3 linked regions of the Lytechinus pictus genome follow. The protein of the gene in region 3 purifies or fractionates together with the protein of the main gene of each other region. This does not show direct contact. Links are inferred from orthologs where the notes say so. Each region holds a gene or a part of one and is shown on either strand. Other genes may lie near its edges. The genes, in order: TAF6-like RNA polymerase II p300/CBP-associated factor-associated factor 65 kDa subunit 6L, WD repeat-containing protein 37-like and SAGA-associated factor 29-like.

The links.
Region 1: the proteins of SAGA-associated factor 29-like (region 3) and TAF6-like RNA polymerase II p300/CBP-associated factor-associated factor 65 kDa subunit 6L purify together in Homo sapiens (affinity purification with mass spectrometry; 4 studies listed by BioGRID and IntAct, counting the BioPlex papers as one, with this or other methods). This does not show direct contact. The link is inferred for Lytechinus pictus from reciprocal best matches to the Homo sapiens genes SGF29 and TAF6L.
Region 2: the proteins of SAGA-associated factor 29-like (region 3) and WD repeat-containing protein 37-like purify together in Homo sapiens (affinity purification with mass spectrometry; 3 studies listed by BioGRID and IntAct, counting the BioPlex papers as one, with this or other methods). This does not show direct contact. The link is inferred for Lytechinus pictus from reciprocal best matches to the Homo sapiens genes SGF29 and WDR37.

What each region holds. Positions count from the first base shown.
Region 1 is NC_087251.1:8,182,487-8,186,245, reverse strand, and holds the start of TAF6-like RNA polymerase II p300/CBP-associated factor-associated factor 65 kDa subunit 6L, read left to right. Parts: upstream 1-1,230; 5' UTR 1,231-1,242; coding exon 1,243-1,314; intron 1,315-2,213; coding exon 2,214-2,364; intron 2,365-2,939; coding exon 2,940-2,996; intron 2,997-3,759. UniProt on the Homo sapiens protein: Functions as a component of the PCAF complex. The PCAF complex is capable of efficiently acetylating histones in a nucleosomal context. The PCAF complex could be considered as the human version of the yeast SAGA complex.
Region 2 is NC_087247.1:25,765,449-25,769,207, reverse strand, and holds the start of WD repeat-containing protein 37-like, read right to left. Parts: upstream 2,666-3,759; 5' UTR 2,258-2,665; intron 1-2,257. UniProt on the Homo sapiens protein: Required for normal ER Ca2+ handling in lymphocytes. Together with PACS1, it plays an essential role in stabilizing peripheral lymphocyte populations.
Region 3 is NC_087246.1:3,895,155-3,898,913, reverse strand, and holds the start of SAGA-associated factor 29-like, read right to left. Parts: upstream 2,173-3,759; 5' UTR 1,268-2,172; coding exon 980-1,267; intron 1-979. UniProt on the Homo sapiens protein: Chromatin reader component of some histone acetyltransferase (HAT) SAGA-type complexes like the TFTC-HAT, ATAC or STAGA complexes.

The sequences.
Region 1 (3,759 bases), on a different chromosome or scaffold from region 3:
AAGTGCCGATGCCAATCGAGTCAATGTAAACAAATCGGGTTTCACAACAAGATTGTTGGAAGACGGCTAGACGTAAAAAAGTACATGGTGAACAGGGCCGTGGAATGGAGGTCACTGAATCCTTTTGTAGCACTGCCATAATCCTTGTCATTGCTGTTGACTGTCTGTCCTGCAGGGGAAGTGAAAAATAGCAGTCCTCATAAGCAAGGACAATCCCATTGTCATCACCAGCCCACCTAATGAATGTCCTTGACAACAGCATACACCTGTTCACAAAATATTGCTAAATGTTATAATTCAGTAACTTTGTTATTTCGTTGTCAGATTTTAAGGAAATTTTCAGCGTTTTGCTTGGTGAATTTTAGTCTGTTTTAGGTATAATTATTTTCAGCCCAAAGCACCTCTTTGAGAATGAGGCAAACTTCTCATATAGAAACGTGAGTAGATCGTAGCCATTCAACCTGGTGGTGGGGTAATCTGCACTGAACGACTAGCCCAAATTATCATGAACAAAAGTTTATAGTGATTCTTCAGTCAATTTAGATAACCCCATCCTGAAAAAAAATGGCATTGAGAGAAATATTTTCTGTTCATAATATATGAACGTGCATGAAAATGCTTGGATTCTGCCCCCTCAACCCTAAGCATATTCATATATTGCCAATGAAAAGCATTTTATGTATGTCTATGCGTGCCTCTCTCGACAACAATCGGGCAATATTCAATCTAAGTACATTATATTGCTTTTTGTGATGGACATACTGAACACACTTAGTTTCTTTTACTCGTAATCATATTCACGATTGGATGGATAGCCGTGGAAACATTTTGTTTGCTTTTATTTTTGAACAATTTTGCTACTTTTTACCCTCACAATTCTTGACCCTGATCAGGCGTCTGAGCTCTGCTGCATTTTTCTAGGGTGGGGCGGGGGGGGGGGGGATAACACATACTTGTTCCATGATTGGAGATTTTATTTAACTTTCTAAGTCAGATCAATATTATAATTATAATGTTAGCACTTTTTAGCAAGGGATACATATGGAAATCTTCTCTTAACCTCTCAAGTGGTGTATATTTCCATCTGCTTAGGAAACCTCTTTATCCTCACTCCTCTCTTACTCTTTCTTTATTTCCCTTTATTCTTTCTTTATCTATCTCCCCTATCTTTTGTTTATTATTATCAGCCTGGAATGTTTAATCTTTCCTCTTCTTTTTCCTGGATAGGCGAGTTCTCAATTTATGAAGCATAGCAAACGGAAGCGGATGACGTCTGATGATTTCAACAAAGCTCTAAGATGGAGTGACGTAGAGGTAAATAGATACCCCATCTGCCCAGCTGTCACCGAGCATGCCTACGGCACTTATCCAGTCTTTGATTGGTCCATTGAAGATTATACAAATAATGAATGTTTATAAGTGCAATGTACAAATACTTCATGAGAATTGAGATGAAAGATGAAATGATCCATTCAACAAGGCTACACCTTGTTGAATGGATCATTCATTTCATCTTTCACCAAATGAAGTATTCTGTCCATTGCACGAATGAAAAACATTATTTTGTTTATATGACACCTAAAAATCGATGCTTGTTATTTGAAATTCATGAATTTTGATGCAAAATATGCTCATACTGTGCACAGTGAGAGCTTGGTCTGTTGATTGTCACGTACATGCGCTGCAAACACAAGTGTTTTACTTGTGGTGCATGGGGCTGGCCTGGGGTCTCGGTACGTGCGTACAATGGACAAAATTGTATGGATCCATAATTGCACGGATGATGATGTCATGAAAAATGGGCTGAATCAAACAACCAATCAAATGGCAGGGATCAAGGTGTCATATAATGAATCTTAATGCATACATTTCCATTGCCAAGAAATGATTTCTCATGTGCCAAATTAGCAATTCACCTGTATAGTTTAGAGCATTGCTGCCATATAAATAAAAATACTTTGCATTAATAATTATTTAAAAAAGTATAAAGTCAAAGGATACAGCATTAAAGATGTAACAAATTCAAAGAATTATGTGAAAGGTGTAGTACTAATACACCATGTCAATGAATTACAAAGTGGTTGGATTATTAACAAGTAACTACTGGAATCATAAACTTGTAGGCTGTTTATCATAAAATTTAGTACATAGGCCTACTAATGAATTGGGCCTAAACAATTATGATAATTTGCTGTTTTGTTTTTCCAATCCAGCCCATTCATGGTTATGGGTCTAATGAACCTGCTGTGTTTAGACAGATTAAGGATACTAATCTTTATTTTGTGGAAGACCGAGATCTGAGTTTACCTGAGATCGCCATGGATACCAAGATACCCAACAGTGCAGGAAACACCTCTCTAAAAGGTTTGGTATTACATGTACATGTATTATTTTGTTTTGTCATAAACATGCTTTCTATTGATTTTATCATACCAAAGTTTTCTGAATGGATGGGTTTTGAAACAAAATATGAAAACAATCTTATTATACGGTATGAGATGTACACAGAAGCATACAATTAGCAATTGCATTGACTAAGACAATGTTTCATAAAGCTGTTTGGAATTTATGCCTGACTGATGAATTTTTCTTGTTCTGTAATAATATAGTTTCATTTCTTATGATCATTTTTAACAGTTGAATAATATTGAATTTTTCCATTGATGATTGTTAGAAAATGATGATTTTAATCTACAAAGATTGGATTTTATGATTACCAAATGTGAATCGAATTCAGCATTCACTAAATGGTCACCAGTTGATTTTCAAGTCATGCATAACTTTTAACAGCTTAGCACCATCCCATTCTGTTTCATGAAGTTGTGTAAACAATTTTTTATTAAATCTATTACTTTATGATGACGTGCCTCCCTTTCAGTTAACAAATTCATGAAATATTATTTTTATAATCCCTCTTATGTTTTTGCTGATTTCTGCAGCTAATTGGCTAGCTTTAGAAGGTGTTCACAAGACTGTTGTTCAATCAAGTGATCCAGGTATGTTGTTTTGAAAAATTAACACCATGCACATTATCCAGACAATCATTTTCTACTCTCCAGTCTCTCCTTCTGAGTTTTGAAATATCAATCTGAGTTTAAAACCACATGTCTATCTTGATATTTTGAAATCCATGAATATCGAATATAAAATGTATTTAGTGTTCTTTGACTCGATTTCTTGGTCACAAAGTTCATGTCCTGGGGCATTCCATGTTTCAAGTAAACTCAAGTATTGATAATTAATTGACATACAAAAAAATCTTATCAAAATTTAAAAAGTTTATATTGCACTGTGCTGAAAGTTAATGTAACATTCAATATCATAAATCATACTAGATTATCAGGTCTCAAAGTAAAGAATTAAATTAAAGCAATTTTTTTAAATGTAGATAGGGTTTCAAAGGGCTGGAAATTTTGGAAAATTTCCATGGAAAGTTTCGGGAATTTTCGGGAATTTTTAATTTTTCACAAAAAGTGATAAATTGTGATTTTAAATACAAAATTATAAATTGATATCCTCAAATATTATATTTTCACTTGTATTTAAACTATTCTTCATTCTTTAAATTGCCCAGAGTATAAAATATTCATCAAACTGTACATAAATACATTATAGTACATGTATCCAGTAACATGATGGAGCATAATGTACAAAATGATTTTTTTTTCAATTCAACAATGAAAAAAATAAAACTTTGCATTACACTATTTTTCATTTTTCTTTAAATGTCAAGGGTTTTTTTATGTACATATAAGAACC
Region 2 (3,759 bases), on a different chromosome or scaffold from region 3:
CAGTGGACTCATTAATAAAATAGCGTATCTAACCATGGTAACAGGCATCAATTTGGCGCACTGTGAAAAATAAGCGTAATTTATACAGGAAATCTGCATAAACCATGGACTCAACCGTGGGTTTTCAAAACCACCTTTATGAATTCAAGCTGCTTAATGTATAGTGAGTGATTGTATTACCGACTGGCCTTGTATTCATCATATGTGTCAGAAAATAATTTCAAACGCTCAAAATTTTACAACATCCTTCCGAAGGGAACTTGAATAGAAAATGATGAAAAATGGTCAAAAACACATTTACAAAGTCTTTATATTCTCAAATAATAAAATACGGTCAAAATAGCTTATCAGTGATTTTGTTTTCTCAACTTTTCCCATAGAAAACATATGTTCAGTAATACAGTACCATTTTCAAGTGACCAAAATATTTCACGAGAAGAGGGGTCCGATTAAAAGCGGATATAGTATTAGTAATTAAAAAAAACAATTTCAACAAAATTGTTATATTCTGTAGGTATTTGTGTAGATCTATTTATGGTTAAAGTTTTGTGAATTTTATGAAAATAATGTATCTGATATGATCAAATCCATGAAAAGTGTTCAGTAATATGATCCACTACCATACTTGGCCAATGAAAAGTGTGATCTTGACCCGATAAAACCAGTTCTTGTTTTGAAACCTATACCATTTTAAACTAAAGCATAGGCTTAGGCCTAGTTAGATCTAGATATTCACTCAGTCTCAGGCTCTCAGCTTCATCATGATCTAAAAATCATTTGGGCTCAAACAATAATAAAACTTGAGTAAAAAGGAATCAAAGGCAAAGCAAGTGAAAGGGCAAGCGTGCACAAGTTGCACCGGGTCGCCAGGCGATGGTACGCCAGATCTTCCGGGTCGGGCAGCGTGTCATCTGGTCATGACCCGCTGCCGCTGGTTATCGCGCTGTTTCACGTGGACGTACAAGTCAAGTGAAATCTAAAGTAAAGGATTCGCATCTGAAACTGTAGTGAACAAGGGCAGACAACCACGTGGACTCGAACGATCGGACGATTGCTACGCCATTCTCGTTCACTGCTCCTATTCCTAACTTGCTAAAACCATTGGAAACTCTCTATAAGTATAATTATTACCGGTACTGACTGTGAACCCTGTGGCTGTGCCTGGCTGGCTGTGACCTGTGTGCATTGCCATTGATGTTGAGCTTGTTTACGAAGAGTTTTAATACACTGTCACTGTATAAAAAGTCTGTAACTTAGTCTAGACTCTAAGTCTGTTAGTATGGTTGGAACTACCCCTTATCGACCACCTAATCTTCTAAGCATCGTATCTGCGAAAATATTCATCAATTTTACCCAGTTTTCGTCTCATTTGTGCAGAAAATTGAGCAGATCAGATTCCCATGTTTCGCTCAGCGACTCCGATTCAATCCGCGTATATATCGACGAACAACGAATACGACGATTTCACATTTGCTCATTTGCACCCGTCTTTTGAAACCGACCACCCGCGATACACTAAGTTTACGGCCGATTCTTGTCGCGGTGGCGAAATATTTTTATTCTTCCAAATCAGTTTTATGATGTCATTGTCAACATGCTAAATGATCGTCTCGCTACTTCCACTGCGAGCTCCGGCACATGATTCGACGATTGATGACGGATATTTGTTCTAAAGCCGTTTCCTATCGGATTTCTTGGTTTTTCAGCGGGGTTTGGGTCTGGTCAATACAATTTTGATTAATTCTACTGAATTTTTACTTTTTGTTGCTTCTTTTTTTCTCGTAAAATCGATTCTTACCGTTTCTATGGACACTGCGCCTTCTCTCCCGCGCGTATCGTTTGTAATACGCAATAATTTTAACACGCGCAAGGTGGTCGGTTTCAAAAGAGGTGGTCGATATTTGGTAGTCTCACCTTACTGAGTGTTAGTTATTATAGGATGGGGGGGGGGTCGGGTGTCCGGACACTTTATATTTTTGAAGCCTTCTTTTTTGTCTTTGGATTACACTAAAAATACAAATTCAATAGGTAGTTGTAATCATCTTCTATTTTGTTCTCTATAATATTTCCTGACATTTTGTACTAACAATTGATAAAACTTCCCTTGTAATTTTTTCCAAATGACTTTCTAAAATTGATCGTCCGGACACACAACAACTGGGTATACTATTATTAGTAAGTAAGTGTTAGTGTTAATAATAATAATAATTCAGAGTGGAGAAAATATAGATTTAGGCCTAGGCCTATCAATCTATACCTAATTCTTGAGGTTGAATGATCCCGAGCTGGATGGCAAAACTTGTGTGCGTCACATCCAAGGTCACCTCACTCCAGTCGTCTAAATTTATGCAAAACTGGTCAAGTTATATCGGCAAGCGATCACAACGCAACGGTAATGGGATAACAAACAACTCTCTTCACTTCAGTATTCTACACAGCTAGCTAGCTGTACACATATACGGTATCACAGTACAGCGCCAGCTCTGATGCATCTGAGGTCGCGTCTGCGCCCCCAGGATCGCCGCGCCAGCGTACCGTAGCAAAGATACACTTTGACCGTAGCGTACGGGCGCGGCGCGCCCCCGTCCCCCTGGCCAGCCCGGCGATCTCGGTACCGCTTGCTGCCGGATTCCCACCACCACGACGTACATACGTAGGCCTACGTCTGTTGTAGTTCCGCTTCGTCCTCGAAAAACTCAGCCGTACAATTTTCGCTCGCGCTCTAGCGCTATCCTGACAGTCTACATTATAATACTATACCATCCAGAATGAAAAGGGGCTGAGCCTGAGATAGGTTTTTTGTGATCGTTTGGCACCATTTTATAGAGTAACTGGAGGTACTGCTAGCCTCAGGGGCGTAAAAAGGGTCGTCAAACATTTCTCGGTTGTAATTGTATCCGAATTGTATGAACAGACAGTGGCGTATATTATATACTGCAAAATTGGCATAGAAGACAAAAAAATCACAGCTTTAAGTTACGATAAAGCGAAGCAAGCAAACATTTCGACAATTTTATTACCAACATCAATAGATTTTGACATAATCAGAAAATATATCTTATCTCCACCTGTTCGCCACTTTCAACAGGATTTTTTTGTATTGTGCGGAGCCTGATTTGGGCCATATTTAGGGCAATTTCTATGCCGCAGTACGGTAACGTGATGAGTAAAAAGAGAGAGAGGGGGGGGGGGGGCACATGCCCCGGCGATACGGCGTGTGGCAAAAAAAAAAGCTGCTTAAGTCCCGATCGAGCGAGCGAATAAACAAATCACTTTTTCATGACGGAATCTAAGGTTGAGATAGATTTTTACACCTTATTCAGAAAATAGGCCTAGTCTTCCATTTAAGTTACTTGCTTATCTTTCTTTGATCCTTTTTTGTTGTTGTTGTTGTTCTTAGTTATATAGGCCTAACTATATTGGTGACCGTCAGTGGCCCAAACCCTGAATCTGGTAGTGCTATTATGCGGATCACGGGCCCCCGACGGGCCCCCGGAACCCACACTGCAAAAACTCCGGTGTTGATTTAACACCAGCCCGGAATCTATATATGTCCCGGGATATGTCCACACCAGTGAAGTATTGAAACAACGGTTTAGAATCAAACTGATGCTGTTTTAATACTAATTGGTGTTGTATAAACACGTATCTTTCTGGTGTTAGACCAAAACGAAACTGGTGTTGTTTAACACTTCTCTGGTGCATGTGGACATATACTATTCCGGGCTGGTGTTAATTAAATCACACCGGAGTTTTTGC
Region 3 (3,759 bases):
TTAACATAAAGTACCATACATATATTTCCATAAAAAAATTACTTTGAGCAAGGCTCCCTAAAGACAATGTCCTGTAAATAGTTATCTCTACCAATTACCGTTTTTCACTCACTGACTTCACTTTAAATTAATAAATTGAAGTTTATAAGTAAATGCTCATCTGTTCAGGTTTATTTTGCTCATGACATAAACAACATCTCTGATTGTCTTGTCTTTTCTTACATCTTTTATGTTATCACAGTGAGATACCATACCTCATCTCTGACATACCCATTTCTTTTGTCAACTAATCAAGAGTTTAGTACGAGTAAATCAACCAAAAGAAGGGTCTCTTCTGTAAAAATATTAGGCACATTGTTGTCATGAGGTGTAATTTCCCTTGAGCCCATGATGCTTATGGCACACAATAGCATGCAAGCATAAGCATTGCTTATGATTCTCCCTGGCATGGCAATTGTGAAAAGGAAACCATCATTTTTAATTCGATCTAAAAATTACCAAAAGTCTGCAAATCTATCATTGAAAGGTGTCCTCTTGTAAAACAAGATGTTCTTGCAAGAACCAGCAAGAAATAATTCTTGTTATCAAGAGAAAACACACATTCAACATTGAAATACAATATCCCCTAACTGTCAGTTTTATTTACAAGGCAGTTAACTTAACAAAGATAACGTAATTGTGTGCCCTATTCAGATTTATATATAGCTTTGATATCGTGCTTGCTCAGTAAAAGATACAAGGAAAGATATTAGAATTTTGAGAAAATGGATTAATTCAACTCTGAATATAATAATATTTGTATTCAGACAAATTACAGAATATGGGATCTGGTGACAAATATCAGAAAAACTTTTATACAATCCCCCAAACTCCTCAAATCTTTTAAATTTATACAATTATAGGACTTGCAAAATGTGTATTACAGTGGTTGGCAGAGCAGTGAAAGCATCTGAGATGTTTGTGTTGATATTGAACTCACCTTATGTGTGTCTTTGACAAGACGATATAGCTCAGCTAGCATCTCCTGTATGGATGCTGAACCTGTCCCTACATGTAGTACATTGGTTTTACTGCTTTCTCCCGTCTTCTCTTCCTCTGGTTTGGGCTCTGTCTCTGTCCCACTCCCTCCTGCACCCTCAGACTGAGGAGTCTTGCCTGGAGAATCCATGTTTGGTTCTGGGGATATGGAGCTGGGAGCCATCACCTTTTCATCCTTGCTAGAGGCCAAGGGTGTGCCCCCGGACGATTTCCCTCTTCTCATCTTCATGAGTGGAGATTTGTTAAAGACAATTACCAGCGTATAATGAAAAAATTGCCAGCTACCCAAGCGTACTCTAGGTATTAATTTGTAATCTGTGATATGCTGAGGAAGAACAAGCAAAAAAGAAAGAGAAATTTATTGCGGGGAGCAGTTCTTGGAGTAACTTCTTTTCTTATGGATCTTAAATCAATCAAAATTCTGTAATCATAACATGACTATGCTGAAATATAGTTAAGATTTATCAGACATTTTCAAATACTTTTATAAAATAATATTTTTCAACTTGATAGACTACACCCCTAAAAGAGAGAAGGAAATAACTGTTGTTATTGATTTTTATTTCCAATCTACTCTTAAACAGCACAAGCTCATGAAAATAATAAGTAGTAATTTCTGTGATAGTAAATAAAAAGTTAGCCGGAGTACAAAATGAAATAGTAGTTTTTTAATAAATGTAGTATCCCTTAACTCATTGAGTGCTTCGTGCACGCTACGTATCCAACTATAACATGCCACACTCGTGCTCGCACGCCTACTATTGATTGCTTTGTGCTTGCATTGTTTCCTACCCTCGCCTGCTTCGTGCATGACTGCGCACATTCGGAATTACAATCATTGTTACGCCGTTTTGCATTGTATTGCGCATCGCATGCACGCCGTAATTAGCACTATTGTGTGCAGTGCGAACTCTGCTTTCTGACAGATCAACTTACTCACGCGGTTTACATTAGACTTTTTCGAGTATTACTACATTTTTTACAAGATATGGCTCCGCCTCCAAAAGGGAAGAGACCTAGGTTTTTTTATCCATACAAAACACTCCACAAAATGGAACTACTTGATACAACTCATATTTTAACGGTAAAGATAATAACCAATCCATATAATGAGGACACCATTATAAGGGGTATGAAATTTCCTACAACTTTACACAATATTTTGTGGATAAACTAATCGTTAGAGAGTTACAAGCAATTGTAATCATGACTATTGAAAGGAGTGAATACGACTCGCGATCCCAAAATCAATGTGGCACAGGGGGGTTTTGTGGCTGGCACAGGGGATTAGCATTGGATTAGCACTGTGGCGTTGGGTTAGTAGTGTGTATGGCATGTTAAGAGTTAACTAGTCTCTGAATATCAATTTACAAAAAAAGAGAGTATCCTAAATAAACAAGACACAATGTATATCTACTCCTCATATGGATAAAAATGTCTTGTGTTTTAAAGTCTGGCCAAGTTAGAAAATAGCAATTGTGATGATCATTTTCCAATTAAATTTATCATTTATTTATTTACATTAGCTTGGAAGGAAATACATTATGATTGTCTTTTCGTGCAGTTTCATTTAAACCCATTATTATCAGCTTGGTTATATCAGTTTGTCGCATAAATTTCATTAAATAAAATATATTATGCAAAATCATTTCTCTCCCTTAATTTCAAATGTCCATGCATGTGTTTGGCTTATTTACTTAACTTAATTGTGAACTGTTAATTAGTGTAATTGATATGCATACAACAACAGAAAATCATTTGTTTTTCTACCATGTTACAAGATTAAAACTGCAAAAGTCTGATCCGATGTAGCATTAACTTATAACACCATTTTATGTGCAGCAGGTCTAACTGGAGAAAAACGCATTTGAAAATTCATATTTACATTGATGTCTGTGTAACAGGTAGCATTTAGTCATGTGAAGGAAAAGAAAGGTATTTTGGGACTAAAAACTTTTTTTTTTTTACAGAATGGTAATACCTGTAACACATAAAAGAATAATTTTTTGACCATTTTTATTCTGTTCGGTCAATAGGACCACTTTTTGACATGCGACCAAGAGGTATGATAGTATTCCTCATTCTCCCCAGTCACATTTTCTTTTATAATACCCACGGGCAGATCCAGCTTTCATTGAATATGAGGATGCAGCAAAAAAAATCATTCACATTAATTTCTAGATCAGCCACTAACATCTGATTTTCATTATTGATTTTTTGAGGAAATTCCTTAAAGTTCTTTATAAAGAATGAAGTTCTTGGCTTCATTTTAAAAAACAAGATAAGGTAGCTTAACATACTGTAGTGATATGAAATACAGGTGCAAGCATAGTAACTCTTGGGCATAGAGCCTGAATGAAAGTAAGTTACATGTAGGTACAATACAGGTGCAAGCATAACTCTTGGCATAGAGCCTGAATAAAAGAAAGTTATGTACAATACAGGTGCAAGCATAACTCTTGGCATAGAGCCTGAATAAAAGAAAGTTATGTACAATACAGGTGCAAGCATAACTCTTGGCATAGAGCCTGAATAAAAGAAAGTTATGTACAATACAGGTACATGTAAGCCTGTATTGTATGCCTGCACCAAGCCAGGTGTTGAATGAATAGTAAAAATTGTTGGGTTTTAGGGTGTGTCCTGGAAAAGACCCTTGATATATAAGACTGTGGGTCTAGAGAGTGGTCTAGTAAAGAGTGGTCTATTAAAGAGTAGTCCAGT